2 linked regions of the Mus musculus genome follow. The protein of the gene in region 2 purifies or fractionates together with the protein of the main gene of each other region. This does not show direct contact. Links are inferred from orthologs where the notes say so. Each region holds a gene or a part of one and is shown on either strand. Other genes may lie near its edges.

Evidence for each region.
Region 1: the proteins of Rnf19a (region 2) and Sod1 purify together in Homo sapiens (affinity purification with western blotting, with the first as the bait; 3 studies listed by BioGRID). This does not show direct contact. The link is inferred for Mus musculus from reciprocal best matches to the Homo sapiens genes RNF19A and SOD1.

Annotation. Positions count from the first base shown.
Region 1 is NC_000082.6:90,220,736-90,228,446, forward strand, and holds Sod1 (superoxide dismutase [Cu-Zn]), read left to right. Parts: upstream 1-26; 5' UTR 27-122; coding exon 123-194; intron 195-2,044; coding exon 2,045-2,141; intron 2,142-3,620; coding exon 3,621-3,690; intron 3,691-4,409; coding exon 4,410-4,527; intron 4,528-5,414; coding exon 5,415-5,522; 3' UTR 5,523-5,598; downstream 5,599-7,711. UniProt on the Homo sapiens protein: Destroys radicals which are normally produced within the cells and which are toxic to biological systems.
Region 2 is NC_000081.6:36,243,422-36,251,560, forward strand, and holds part of Rnf19a (E3 ubiquitin-protein ligase RNF19A), read right to left. Parts: intron 4,445-8,139; coding exon 4,330-4,444; intron 3,863-4,329; coding exon 3,701-3,862; intron 2,209-3,700; coding exon 1,995-2,208; intron 810-1,994; coding exon 666-809; intron 1-665. UniProt on the Homo sapiens protein: E3 ubiquitin-protein ligase which accepts ubiquitin from E2 ubiquitin-conjugating enzymes UBE2L3 and UBE2L6 in the form of a thioester and then directly transfers the ubiquitin to targeted substrates, such as SNCAIP or CASR.

The DNA.
Region 1 (7,711 bases), on a different chromosome or scaffold from region 2:
CGTGGCGCCAGGGCCTCGTTTTTTTGCGCGGTCCTTTCCTGCGGCGCCTTCCGTCCGTCGGCTTCTCGTCTTGCTCTCTCTGGTCCCTCCGGAGGAGGCCGCCGCGCGTCTCCCGGGGAAGCATGGCGATGAAAGCGGTGTGCGTGCTGAAGGGCGACGGTCCGGTGCAGGGAACCATCCACTTCGAGCAGAAGGCAAGGCCCGGGGCGCGGGGCGCAGGCCGCGGTGACGCGGCGCACCTGTGCGGGAGCACGCCACGCCCCCGCCACGGCCTGAGCCCGCTAAGTGCTGAGTCACCGTGGCCTGGGGCAGGGGCTGGGCGCCGGGAAGCGAGGCCCGGGGCGCCGCGGGGCCTTCCGGGCGGGCGGGGGCCTCCCCGCGCCCCGGAGCGGCTGGGCCTGCCCGGGAGAGCCGGCTTGGCATCCGTTATCCTTCTGGGGCTGCTGCTTTTCCGGTGTCCGTGTCCCACAGGCTCAGAGCCCCGTGGCCACCGGCTGCGATTGTTGTAAGAATATTTGAACCCGGTGGTGCCAGACCGGACTAAGGCCGCAGGACGCGTTTGCGGCACTTTAAAGCAAAGTCCTGGGCTGTTCTGTACTAGGTCAGGGTCGTGTCGCAAGGCGGAAAGAAAGAGATGGCCTTGGACAGCCGTCCCTTGCTTTGCACTCCAGAGAGAGACCCGGCTGTGGGTTTTTTCTACCACAGCGAGTTTCTGAGCACATTTTGGAAAAGTACATAGAGATATTTTCGAAAATACTGTGACCCTGCAAAAACACATGCGTCACAGGGAAGATGTGTGTGGTAAGGTTGTGTCCAGAGCCTTAGGGAGGTTACCGTTGTTGTATTCACCTTAATCCCGAGAGAATATTTGATAAATGAGCGTTATGTGCTCTCTGAAGTGGTGGACATACGTGTGAGAAGGCAGACACCATAGTGAATCCCAAGTGTTTGGTTTACGACGAGAACTGATAACGGCAATTTAGAGTTTTTCGTAACTAGCCTCGTTTCCAGCAGTTTCTTGGCATTGAAATGCGTTTTGTTGTTTTCCTGTGGAAGTTTTTTGTTTTTGTCTTTTTCTCCTCCCCACGTAATTCACTGTGAGAAAGACGAAGTTCGGCTGGGTCTTACCCCTGTGTGTGGGTTTCTGTCATCTTCCACCATGCCATGCCAGAGCAGCTCGCACTATTTTTGTGACGCTGCAAACTACACATCGCTGGTGCCCTTTGTACCCAATGAAACGATAGTTAAGCATTCCAGATTGGCAGTTGTAATCAAAGCTGGTTGATTTAACCTGTTGCCAACTTTTCAGAATCAGATTTTTCTACCCAAAGTTCATATTCCCTTATTCTGTTGCAAAAGTTGGACATTTAAAAAAAAAAAAACCTAAAAAATGATTGTCCTTGCTTGTTGGTCGGTTGCTCTTACATTTTCTCCCTATTGCTACACTTTCTGGAGCAGTACTAATTTGAATTTTGGGTGTTCTTTTCTTTTTTGTTAAGTGGCAAATTTTCTAGATTTGGATAGCTAATGAGATTTTTTTTTTAAGGTAGCTCTGGTTAGACCCAAATGGATCTCCACAGGCAGTAGGACAAAGGCATTTTCTGACCACTAAATAAAAATAGGGGAACTGATAAAATCACTGAATGTGGAGAACAGGGTTCTCGGCAGCCAGTGTTCTGTAAGAGTCAAGTCTGACAGTGCAGTAGCCATCTCTTCCCCAGGCCTGGCATTCAGTAGCCCCTGTTTGTTCCACCTGGTGCTTTCTAAATGCTGTTCAGTCCAGGTGCCTGCACACATGGCATCTGGCAGCAAGTGTTAGGAGAAGTGTGACAGGGAGAGAGAGGCCTAGAGCTGAGCGTCTCCAGAGCCACCCTGTAGGAAGTGGGTCTACTTGGATCTGAACATAGGTTTGATTTTCACTGTTGTGTGTTTTGACTTGAGCTTTTTACTGTGCTTGGTTAGGGTGTAACCCAGCAACAGCCCTGGTGCAGGAGTATTTACACTCAAACTTGATGTCTTCATTTTTGTATTTTTTTAAATCAAGGCAAGCGGTGAACCAGTTGTGTTGTCAGGACAAATTACAGGATTAACTGAAGGCCAGCATGGGTTCCACGTCCATCAGTATGGGGACAATACACAAGGTAGGTCCTAGGCTGGCTAGTGACCAGTGATGGAAAGGAACTGAGTCAGGACCCAATTACTAACCATTTAAAACTATCTCGTTTGTTTTCTTTTTCTTTTAGATAAAGTTAAAATGACCACTTAGGTCAACCTTGGAAAGTAGCCACAAAAGTATTTTATTTAGTATCAAGTATTGCTTGCTTCCTTAAGTGTGGGAAGGTAAAGAAGGTGATTTTTCTTCATTGTAATTATAATTAAGCAGCACCTTGCTTATTCTGGGTGTTTATTGGGTGCTTATTTGGGTGTTTGGAGCTGGGCGTTGAGGATGGATGCATTAGGCAGAGTGTCTAAGGACAACCATGCCTTAGCATGAGAGGCATAGCGGGACAGAAGTGACAAAAACTGAAGATTCAATATAAATGCTTAAGTAAGATTTATTTTCTCTATTTGGGATTAGAATCAAGTCAGTAAAAAGTAGTGGCTTAAATTGCAGTTAGTGAACTTTTACCATATTGGAGTAATGATCTGAATTTGCTTACCGTCATTTAAGAGCCTCATCCATGTTGCGAGAGCCTTTTCCTTTCCTCTCCTTCTCCCCTGCCTTCTTCCCTTCTCCACATAGCCCACGGTGGCCTGGAATTTAGTCTTGTGTGTGCTGTGTTAAAGGCATGTACCATCAACCTGTGTGCTATGTGCCATAATTTGTTCTACAGTTACTTAGGATTGGGTTTGACCCATTTGATAATTACTAAAGTTACCCCGAGTTGCCTCTGGCCTGGTAGCTTTGATTTGTTAAGCTCCTTCCAGAATCCTGCCCAGTTCCTATTTTCTTGGTCTGAGTAAACACTGGAAGTCCTGCATATAAAAGGACTTGCTGCATTGTTGAGCTGTGCCTTGTGACTGGCATCCCTTAGCCCACATGAGTAGTGTGGTACACCTCCTGGAGTTGAGGACACCAGCCCTGGCCCTTGGGAACAAGCCATCTAACAGTCTGCCTGCCCCAAGTAAAAGCTAGACAGGTGAGCTGTTTGGTGGCACATGGTCTAGAAAGATAAGTATTTTTATCATGAAGTATGCTCCCTTCTTAAAAGCCAAGGTCTTTAAATGTGGGACTTTAACTTTAGAAGTGCCATTAAAGATCACATCTGTTCCAGTTACAAGGAAGGAACAAGAGCCAGGCATGCTGTCCTGACACTGCCATGGCCCTAAGGCTAAGGTGGGAGGGTCATAGGTCGCAGATATCCTGAGCTGTAGTAGTGAGACACTGTCTCAAAACTCAAAAGCAAACAAAAAGAAAAATGTGACAGTCTAGGAAAAAAAGGTAGCCTGAGAATGTAAGGCTATACAGTGCAGCTACTTACACCAGGGCGCTGCTGCCTGTTTTTATCGCCCCAGCACATACCAGGTCAGTGTTTGCTATGTTGGAGGTTGTAAGAATGCCTGTGTTGTTACATATAGGGGTTTACTTCATAATCTGACTGCTGGTTTCTGGTAAATAGGCTGTACCAGTGCAGGACCTCATTTTAATCCTCACTCTAAGAAACATGGTGGCCCGGCGGATGAAGAGAGGTGAGCAGCACGCTCTGTATGCATGGTGGAGGAGAGGGGTCTGTGGAGGACCCCAGTAAGACAGAACTGCATGGCCTCCTGCCTCTGCTTTTGTGTTTGTTTCCATTCACCCAACTCACTCCCACAACCCCACGTGCTAGAATAGCTTCTGTTGGGTGAAGGAGCTGACAAATGTGGACTCTTAAAGTGATTTGGTTTTGTAGCATTTATTGAAGATGAACTAATACAAGTGCCAAAAGGAACCAATACAGAAAATATCATGGATAACAGTACTGTCAGTCACTGGCAAAGTAAATCATTGTATAATAGGACGCTAATGCAGATAATGAAAACTAGTTGAGATTCCATTTGTATGTGAAACCTTAGGAAAGTCCTAAATAAAGAAGGGCTAGCCTGTTTTTAGAATGGGGGCCTGGGAGCAAACCTTTGCTAACTCAGGAGCTGGCATACTTTACTAAAGCCCCAGATTATGACTCTTCTCAGAGCACTACCTTTAAACTTGAAGAACTGTCTGTCAAGGTATCCTGTAGCTACCTGTTTTGAACTTTGTGTTTCCAGACCTTTGCCGGTCTGGAAAAGCCATCATAGTTGATAATGTATGTGTACTTTTTCATCCACTCATACGTATTTGACTTAGTCAGATTTTAACTTAGTTATTGAACTCTAGTGATGTGAAATAGACATCATTGTTCATCCACCTGATGCTGTTTTAATGTTAGGCATGTTGGAGACCTGGGCAATGTGACTGCTGGAAAGGACGGTGTGGCCAATGTGTCCATTGAAGATCGTGTGATCTCACTCTCAGGAGAGCATTCCATCATTGGCCGTACAATGGTGGTAAGTTTTTCATATAAGGATATATACATAGGATTTCTTCTAACATAGTTATGTACCTTCCCATGACTTTATGGTGGTTAAACTAGTTTCTAAAGAGTCACATAAATTGTTAAGAGTTCAGGGTAGGAAAAAAGTTCTTTTATTGGCTGTGATAGTAAAGAATTAATTTGCCTAGGTCAGTTAAGAACACTGTTGTGCTGAAATGCAGTAGAAAGCAGTTACATTTGATGAGACTGGATCTGAGTTGAGGATACAATAGTCTTTAGTCTAAAACAGCCGGATTTTCTTGCCATGATTGCCCCCCCCCTTGCAACATTTCGTTGAGTCTAAAATCTGCGATGGATGGCAGTATTCAAGTCTGTAGGTTATCGCTTGGTTACCATATGGGAGCCGTCTTCCCAAGTTACCCTCGGGAGATGCATCTGGGTCATGCAGAACACCAAGTAGTAAAGGCTCTTGCCCACCTCGGGCAGCTAACTTTTCAGTAGGCACTTCCTTCCTTGCAGTTGACCCTTTATCCTTAGAATGCTCTTCAGCCCTATTGGTGAAGCAGAACAGTCATTCATAAGTGTTGTAAAATAAAGCTTTAGAGTCTTGTTGCTAAGTAGAGATACTTAGAATTGCCTCTTATGTGTAGGCCTATAGTTCTTTCAACATGAGATTTTGATAGAGAAATTTGTAAGAATGACTACTGTGTAGTTGGGGAGGAGCTAAGATCAGCATGTACCTGGTAGTTACTTGGGTCTTAGTATTTCATCTAGAAATAGCCACTAGCAAGGAAAAACTTAGTGGTCTGCTCTTAACTGCTAGTATTTAAGTCTGTAGTATTGCTGGGAAGAAGTACTAGTTACTTGATCATTCAAACCTAAATGTTCTTCTTTTCAAAGGTCCATGAGAAACAAGATGACTTGGGCAAAGGTGGAAATGAAGAAAGTACAAAGACTGGAAATGCTGGGAGCCGCTTGGCCTGTGGAGTGATTGGGATTGCGCAGTAAACATTCCCTGTGTGGTCTGAGTCTCAGACTCATCTGCTACCCTCAAACCATTAAACTGTAATCTGAAGAGTTGTAACTGTGTGACTCCTTTGACTGGGCTAAGGACAGCAATGACAGCTGATGGAGACTGTGTACAACTCACTGAATTCAAATCTGTTTCTGTGCCTTTCCATATTTTGCCAGACTACACAGGTGATAAGCTGAAATTCTCATTTGAGCCTGTTAGTAAATATGTGTGGCACTTATTTTGAGCCTATTAATGTGTACAAAAAAAAATTTTAAGTTAGCTCTATACATTGAGCATCAATAACAGACTCAATGATGCTAACTCATAGTATTTCATTTTGAAAGTGTTTTATGTGATACCATCAAAATGGTGGGTGGTAGCCCAAACAAAATTTGAGCAGAAAATTTTCTGCCCCTTATCAGAGAAATTATTGAAAGCTCTCAAGATTCAGAGTACTTAACCTTATATTTTAAAATTGTATTAGGATTAGATGTCATGATTTAAGAAAAAGCCCTTTAGTAAACTTGTATCAAACTCATAGAAGGCAAACATGGAGCCTCAGCTAGCTCTACTAGCCAAGTGAAGTTGGTACCACCCATCTTTAAGGTTGGCACTCAGGGAAAACACAATAGCTCGGGGAATGACACCAAGTTTGACTGGAGGTTCTGGCTAAATCGACTTTTATAGCCCCAGGTAATGAAATTGAGTGCCTTAATACCCAAGAAAGAGTGCCTTTGAAAGGAAATATTAACAGGCTTGTGACTATCTGAAATAGTTCAATTGAAGTATTTTCAACAAATTGGGTGTAAACCATAGTTCTCACTGATATACTGAAGTCACTGAAGAAGAGACAACTAAATTGGAAAAGCACATAATTTGGTGTTTCCAACCTTAAAATTTTTAAGTTTAGATTTCCAATCTAAGATTGCTCATAATGCTTTTTCAAGTAGTTATGTTGAAGTTCCAGGTAAATCCTATGTAACTGATTTCCTTAATGTAGTTTTGATGTGGGGGATGACTCAATGCGGATTAACTTGGTAATCACAAACCATTTAGTGGCTCACGTCTCAGTATTTTTAGTTGGAAAGACAAGCTGCAAGTCTGTCCTTGGAATCTGACATTGGATCATCGTCGGATGCATGTTTTATGATACTCTAATAAGGACTTAAAAGCCTAAGTAGGGTCACCAGAAAGCTGAAGCCTGGCAAAGCTACAGACACATTTCTTCCATCATTAGGAAGAGCTCAGATCTAAATGTCAAATGGGAACATACAAAAAGGAACTTCTAGGTACGATAAAGCTAAGTTTGACAAGTTTTTTGTTTAACCTAGCACCTTGTAGTTTTAAAAATCATTTTTAGGGTGTGTGCACTAAGAGGAAAACAAGTTCATATTCTTCCACCTTTTATTGTCCCTGGGGTCAAATAGGCCATCAGGGTTGGCAGAAAGTGTCTACTGGCTAGGTTATCTTGTCTTCTAATGTAATTTGATGAAAAGAACTTTGACTGTAAGAGGTTCTCAACCTGTGGGTCGTGACCCCTTTGGGGTTGTATATCATCTATTCTTCCAATCAGATATTTATATTACAATTCATAACAGTAGCCAAAATTATAAAATAGCAACAAAAATAATTTCGTGGTTGGGGATCAGTAACTTTAGAAGATCACAGTATTAGGAAGGTTGAGAACCACTGCTGTAAATAAATACCTAACATTTAAGTCCTCGACTCTAGACAACACCCACCACCACCACCTTTCTTTTTGGTTTTTCAGGACAGGGTTTCTCTGTGTATAGCTTTGGCTGTCCTGGAATTCACTCTGTAGATCAGGCTGGGCTTGAACTCACAAGAGATCCACTTGCCTGAGGACTGGAACTACAGGTGTTTGCCACTACCACCTGGCAAAAATCATTTGGGTAAACTTCTTTTGGTTTCTTGAGAGAGGGTTTGTTGTAACCCTGGCTGTCCCAAACTTGTTCTGTAGACCAGGCTGGTCTTGAATTCAGAGATCCACCTGCCTTTGCCATTGCTGGGATTAAAGGTGTGCTGCCCTCTGGGCTTGGACAACACACTTTTATGTCAGTGCTTTTTAATACTATTAAGAGTCTTGGTTTGGCTTCAGGTGTAGTAGCAAAGGTTTGGTGTACTTCTTAGGCTATTGAAGATGGTAAAGACAACAGGCAAA
Region 2 (8,139 bases):
GTGCACACACTACAAAAAGTACCTGTGCTTTTTGACCTGAGTCAAGGAAGGCTCTCCCCGTTGGGCAGCCTGGCACACAGAAGCTGGAGTACCAGCGATAGAAGCAAGGCAGACCTACTTTCTACAATCTCTCCAAGTTTCATCTAAATCTAACCACTGTTAATGCATGTTATTAACAGTTTTCTGAAGTCTCTCTCTACTTTTCTTCTTTCTTTTTTTTCAAACTTTTGCTCAGGAGGTCAGGCTGTGGGTTAATTAAACGCAGGGTCTCAGGTCTGGTAGGGCTAATGCTTCACGTTTAAAAACAGCAGTAGGTACATTTACTGTTTTTCTGTTGTGGGCACAGCCATCAGCATTTCCTACCTCAGGACATTTTTCATCATTCAGCCTGTGTCTACACCACAGGCCTCTCCTCCCTGCTCTTCACAGCCACACAGTTCTACACCACAGGCCTCTCCTCCCTGCTCTTCACAGCCACACAGTTCTATACCACAGGCCTCTCCTCCCTGCTCTTCACAACCACAGTTACTTTTTCCCTTAACGGAGTTCTTCCTCTGAACAGCTCACTGTTTTCTCAGAGACTGTGCCCACTGACAGGGATAATTCCTTTTAATTTAAATTTTAAAAAACGCTCTGATCTTATAGGAAGAAGCACGCTTTCTTACCTGTCCAGAGGGATGTAGGAGTTGAGAATGGATCCCGCCATTGCTTTGGTGCTGGCGTTATCACTAACTGTTCCCAAGCTCACTGTGCCAGACTCTCCACTGAGACTACACCGTTCTTTCTGTACGTCTGCTTGTACTTCCAACCTTAAAGGGAAAGGTTATATAAGCCCTCCATCATTTATAGCTTAGCAATCATAATGCCTATCTTTATATATAAGTCAGATAAAAGCTTCAGTAATGAAGTGTTAGACACTGCAACTCTTCGGTTCCCATTTGTTTGACGATACAGATAATAATGTGGTATACTGAACAACATCCGCCCAAGAGAGTCAAGAGAACATGACCAAAAGGAGAAAAACAAACAAAAACATCTTAAAGCTCTCCTTCATTTTCACTAGGATACAGTCCTTTGTCATGTTTCAATACACAATACAAAGTCAGAATATACTGACTGATAAACATAAAAAAATCAGCAAGTAATTAAAAAAATTATTATCCTCTATTAACTGCATATGGTAGCAAGCATCTTTAATCCTATCCCCTTAGGAGACAAAGGCAGGCTGATCATTTGAGTTTGAGGGCAGCCTGGCCTATATGTTGAGTTTTAGGTTAGCCAGGGCTATATAGTGAGACTCCATCTCAAATAATAATGAAAAAAAAAATTCTATACTGAAAGGGTTCTAATAAACAACTTCAGCCCACATCTGATTGTGTAATAAGAGGTAACAATATATACGACTACAATTAATTTCTGTCCAACTATAAACTACCCAAACTAAACTGATTTATCTTTTAATTCATCTACCTTCCTTCACATAAAAAAGCTAAAACAGAAATGGTGAATCAGAAAAACAAACAAAACAAGGTAAGATAATTATGTTAATTTTTCCTTGTATCTCTATGGGTATGAGTGAGACTTAGTGAGAGATGGTCATTGTCACTTTAGGGTGCAGGGCGACTGACTGCTCCAGGCTGGTGTCAGGATCTGGGGCACCGGCGGGTCAAGTCTCCCTCCCTCCCTCGGACATTCAGTCTGTCCCACAGAAGCAGGGACCAGGCAAGTCATGGCCTTCCCTTCACTCACACAGCTCCAGCAATTAGGTGAGCTTTAACAGGGGCAATGTTATTCCTCAGGACTTAGTTTTTATTCCATCAGTATCAAGTACAGTAAAAAAACACAAAATACAAAAAACAACAACAAAAAAATCTTATCAACTTTCCCCAAATTTTATTTTTTAACCTTAGGATAATTATCATGCTTTGTATTTAAATTGTTCATCTAATTAATATCTGGTCTTTAACAAAACAAAGCAAACAGCTCTTACTTACCTGTTGAAACAGTTTACCATGGCACTTCCCGACAGACTGCCCGTGATACTAGCTCCAGCTAATGCCATGGTGCTCGCTGTCTCACTCAGGTTGTCTCTAATGGTGCCTATTCGATCCATGTGGCTTCCACTTGCACTCAAACTGCCAGTCAGGCCGCCGACACTTCCCTCTCCTATGCTAGGGTTGTGCCTTGCTTCTGCTACTGATGTTGTATCTGAATGTAAAATAATTCAAGAAATGAAATAGGAGTGACCCCTTCCTCATGTTCCTGGCTTTCAACTCCTACATCATCTCAGACTACAAAGGACAAACTACATCCATGCTTAGGCATAAAGAGAACTAGTTCAGGGTGTGCAGCTCAATTTGATACTGGCCTTAAATTGAAGATGTCATTTTCTTATTTTGTTGGCTAATTCCAGAAGTTGTAGGAATTTTAAATGAACTATTTAATATGTCTCCCTGGCCAGCATGGGGTTCCAGTGAGAGATCCTATTTTCTAGATCAGTAAAGATGGGGAAAGAAGTTGATTTCATAGTTTATAGTTCTAATTGTCTATAACTACTGTAAGACATGTTAGCATTATGTTGTAATTTTACAGTACTATTCACATGCTTTGTATTGAGGAATTTACTTATTTATGCCAGTATTTGGGTTTCTATTACACATCCAATCATAGTGTAACAAAGCTATCAGAACCACTGGAGGTAAGAGAGTAAGGAGAGATGGTGGCACACATGTGTAAGCCCTGCACACAGCTTTTAGGATATGACCATGAAGCCCTCTTATAAGGTCGCATTTGTAAGGCAGGGAAAAAGTATGCCATAGAATTATCTGAGAGAAGAGTATTCCAGGCAGAGGCAACCACAAGTTTAAAAGCCTAGAAACAGGAGTGTAACTGTCATCTTTGAGGAGAGGTGGGGTAAGACAGGATGGGAAGGGGTGTATGCAGATAGTCAGGGTAGGAGTTGGACCTTAACAAGGGCATCTGACACCCTGCTCTCCATGTAGACAATTGTGAGATTTCAAGAGAAGCTAATCAGAAGTAAAGTGACAGGGTTCTGAGGAGCTGGCTGGGACACTTGTAGAGATCCACATAAAGTACAAAACAGGTGTGACAAAAACTGCTGGGTATAGAAAAAGCACTGTTTAAAGCAAGCTGATCACTGACACTCTACTGGCAGTATGTAAAGCCTTTGGTTCTTTGTACTTCTGCCCATGACAGTTCTAATTCGTATTTCTTTGAATAATACAATGTTTTGATTTATCGGCCACCTGTAACTGTTTTCATTTCTCCTCACATCCTTTTCTCAGGACGTCACAATGTACCGAGCACAGCAGTGCAGGCAAAGGTTCTACCTTCCAGAGGGCATTCTCAGTAAGAGTTAAGCACCAGAACCACCTCTCTCTCTCTCTCTCTCTCTCTCTCTCTCTCTCTCTCACTCACTCCTGCCTTGGGTAGCTCCTGTCACAGCTGAGCTTCTGCATGAAAACTACAAGCCGTCTGTCACGTATGACCTTTAACCCCATCACATGGGAACAAGAGCCAGCCTGCTGTGTACAGTAAGTTCCAGGCCAGCCAAGACTTTACAGTGAGACCCTGTCTCAGAGTGAAAGAGGAAAGAGAAGAAGAGAGAAGAGGGAGAGTGAGCCTAGTAAAGGGAGACGGTATAATGAAGACACGAGTCCTTTCCTGTCTGAGGACTCACCTATGGCTGCGTTAGTCCCACCGACGTTTATGTCATTCTCATCATCAAACTCAATCCTCACTCCTTTCCCATTGCCCGCAGAGACACCACAACCCCCACTTCGGCAGAGAGAAATTGGGACCACACCATAGACATAAGCTAGCATGATGGGAACACCAATGCCTAGAAGGGAGTAAAATCAAGTCATTAGAAACCAAAAATAAACCACAGAAATATGATGTCTATTTCAGGAGAAGGTATACAGAGCTCTGAAGATCTGGCTAGAATACAGCAAATACAAGACTCCCAGGTAGCCTTCGGGTATCCATGAGGGACAGAAGAGTCTGTGAACTTTTTAAGTACAAGCTCCTCAACGCAAGTGGAGGAGAAGGGCTACTCAATCAGTTATCCTGACCGGTTCTTGGGGACCAAATAGGGCCTTATGTGTATGTCTGAGGGAAGCGCTGAAACCCTGAACTAAAGCCCCAGCCTTAAAACTAGGTTCTCCAGTATACAGTACTTTAATGAAGTTACTTGAGAAATCTTCTGTAGGTTTTCTACTTAAACTGCTTCTTCATTTTAAAAGTAATACTCTTAGCAACAACATAGTAGTTAAAAATACCTTTCTAAGATGTAAAGCCCATTCTTACCTACAGTCACTGCAGCTACCACCGGAGACACGATTACAGACAGGGTGACACCGCCTGCTATGGCCAGATTCCGCTTATGTTTTGAAACATCTTTGCCTTCATAGCGATTATGAATCTTAAATTTAAATGGGAATGGAAGTTTAGAGAGAGAAAAAATTATAAATTTAGTTTAGATGAAACAGTTCTTCTCATATAAGAAAGCTGAAGTAATTTCTCACACAATCCCAATCAAATGCTCTACTTCAAGGTAAACCACAATATCAAAATTGCTCCTTATTAAGGACCTGGTTACAGAAGAAGGCAGTGGCTCAGGAGATCTTAGTTTGAGTCACAAGTTAAACGTCTTTCTTGTGTACAATGCTGCTTTAAAGCTGGCCCAGGCCATGAGATTCCATCTCACAAAAACAGTATTAGAGTTCCACAGGTTTCTCTCTAAAGAAGACCCCCTGAATCTGCCCCAGGAGAGGTTTCTGCGATTGTTTTTACTCTTAAGAAAAAGCTGAGTCTAAGCAGGAGCTGTATGAATCAAATATCACTAAAATACAACTTTTCTCCAGATACCTTTTTATGATAGAAAATATTAACAAAATTATTATCAAAATCCTATTTGTAGTTCAAATAAATAGACAAGGAAAAGTAACAGTTACCAAAGGAGTTAAATTTACTTAGCATCATTGTACAATCCACATTAGTAAATAGAATTATTGCCATAAAAATGGATTGTGAGTTATTAAATGAAAGTGGGAAATACTTTAGTAGCTTTGTTCTTGGGCCTGTAGGAGCCAAACTAATGAAGGGCATTTCCCCATCTGTTTCAAGACATCTTGTGAACAGTGAACAGCCTCCAGAGCACACAGGTAGTCTCTAACGTAAAGTGCTAGGTCCTCCCTTCTATGTTTTGTTCTACAGATCCTTTTCAGCCATTCCTGGGCATGGTCCTGCAGCAGGGCAAAGCTAAGCTACACAGATGAGATCATGGGAAGGAAAGGAACCCTCTGTCAGCTTTTGCTCTCCCCAATCCCCCCCCCCCCACTTCCTTCTTTTCTTCCTAAGACAGGACATTGCTCTATATACAGTCCAGGCTGGCCTTGAAGTTGAGGTAATCCCCCTGCCTCAGCCTCTCATGTGCTGGGAGTATAGATGTACAGCACAGCCTATCATCTTTGGAGGCTTCTACTAGTTTCTTTCATTTTTAAAACTTCATTATATGTGTATGTGACCCATGTGTGTGCCCTTTGGCCAGAGAGGCCAGAAGAGGTCACTGGATCCTTTGGGACTAGAGTTACAGATAGTTGTAAGCTGCCCACTGGTACTGAGAACTCTTCTGGAAGAGTCTTAATCACTGAGCCATCTCCCGAGACCTCACCCCTAGCTTCTTAACACCTAACCTCATGTAGCTCAGGCTTTCCTCAACTCATCATGTAGCCTTGAACTCCTGATCCGCCTGCTTCTACCTCCTAAATGCTGGTGATATGCATGCCTAGCTTGTTTGTTATTCTTGGCACATCTTCTACTTTTTGTTGTAACTAAAAGCTGTTTTCTGGCACTTTCTGGACTTACTAGGTTTTCCTGAGCTGATACAATCCCAAACATCACAGAACATTATTTAAAGGAAACACTAATACATCAACCTGCCCTTTAGGTACATGTATAAACAACAATAGGCACTTCACATTTTTTGTGATGCAGAGTCTTGGACTACAGCCTAGCCTGGCCCATAATTGCTACAATCCTGGTTTAGCCTCCCAAGCACTGGAGCTTTCAATAAAAATCTTTTTGGTAAACTGCATGAAAGGTTATTAAAATAGGCTCCTTTGCTGCTTAGTGTTTTGTCAACCTGACATAAGCTAGAATCATTTGGGAAGAGGGACCCTTAACAGAGAAAATGCCCATACTAAACTGGCCAGTGGTGGCACACACCTTTAATCTCGGCATTCCAGAGGCAGAGATGGTTGATCTCTGAGTTCAAGGCCAGCCTGGTCTACAAAGCAAGTTCCAGGACAGCCAGGGCTTCAGAGAAACCCTGTCTGAAAAAACAACAAAAAAACCAAACAAGCAAAAGGAAGGAAGGAAGGAAGGAAGGAAAGAAGGAAGGAAGGAAGGAAGGAAGGAAGGAAGGAAGGAAGGAAGGAAGGAAGGAAGGAAGGAAGGAAAATGCTCACACTAGATTAACCCATGGGCATGCCTGTGGGGGCATTTTCTTGATTAATGCTTGATAACCCAGCCTACAGTAGGTGTTTCCACCTCTGGGCAAGTGGTCCTGGGTCATATAAGAACACAATCCAGGAAGCAGAGCTCTTCAAGGAATGTACTTCAGTTCCTGCCTCCAGGCTCCATCCCAACTTCCTTCCATGATCAACTGTGATCAGGAAGCTAAACCAAATAAGCCCTTCCACCGCCAAGTTGCTTTTGGTCATTGTGTTTTATCACAGCAACAGTTTGTATATTGGAAATAATTTATTTTTCTTCTTTGTAGTGTTCTGAATAAAATCCAGGCCCTTGCACATGCTGTACGCTCTACCACCATGCTGTGGCCCTAACTCACTCACTTTACAGGGTTATTTAAGAGCCTTCTGAAATAAACACTTAGAGATATCTATGTTCCTCCTCACCAGTCACCAAAACTTTTTTTTCTTTTTCCTATCTGGGATCTAACAGAGAACCTCCTTAGACAAAGTACTGTACCAACCAGCTATATGCCTTTCTATGAAAACTAATTAAAAAGTAATGTTGGTTTTCCTTTTTTTTTTTTTTTGGATTGTATTTTCAGGGCTAGAAGGATGGCCCAGCAGTTAACAGTACATGCTGCTCTTCCAGAGAGCGGAGTTTGAGTACCAGCACTACATGGCGGCTCCTAACTGTCTGTAACTCATTCTGGGGGAATCTCATGCTGTCTTCTGGCTTCTGCAAGCACCAGACATGCAGGCAAATGAAGTACATGTAGCTGTCTTACAGAAGAAGATCATTCTCATCCTAAGTGTAGGAGCACTATGCATACACAGAACTAAGACACAATGGGAAGTCTGACTCCACCTAAGTATTTCCTAACAACAGTGGCTGTGGTGGCTGTCATGTCACCTCGACACAAGCTCGAGTCATCTGAGAGGAGCAAACCACAATTGACAAGAAGCCTCCATAAGATCCATCCGGCTCTAAGGCCTTTCCTTAATCAGTGACTGGTGGGGCCCAGTGATGGTGGGTGGTGCTGTATCTGGGCTGGTGGTCCTGGGTTCTATAAGAAAGTAGGCTGAACAAGCCTTGGGGAGCAAGCCAGTAAGCAGCACCCTTCCATGGCCTCTGCAGCAGCTCCTCCTCCAGGTTCCTAATGTGTTTGAGTTCCTATTCTTTTGTTTGTTTGTTTTTTTGTTTTTCAAGACAGGGTTTCTCTTATAGCTCTGGCTATCCTGGGACTCACTTTGTAGACCAGGATGGTCTCAAACTCAGAAATCTGCACCACCACTGCCCAGCTTGAGTTCCTATTCTTGTTTCTTTCAGTGATAGAATACAAGGTGAAAGTATAAGCCCAATAACTCTTTCCCTCCTTGCTTTTTTTTTTTTTTTTGGTCATGGTGTTTTATTGCAGCAACAGAAACCCAAGCTAAGAAGCAGCCATCTGGCAATAGCATAGATAAGTACTTTCTCCAGGACTGGGTGCCCAATGGCTAGACTGAAACTTATGAGGGACTTCATATACAGATTTACTTGGACTCAAATCCCTTTCTATGTGATTAAAGATCAATTATAGAACCTTTCTAAACCGCACTGTTGTTCAGAGGGTAACAGTATTTGCTGTCAAGCCTGACGATCTGA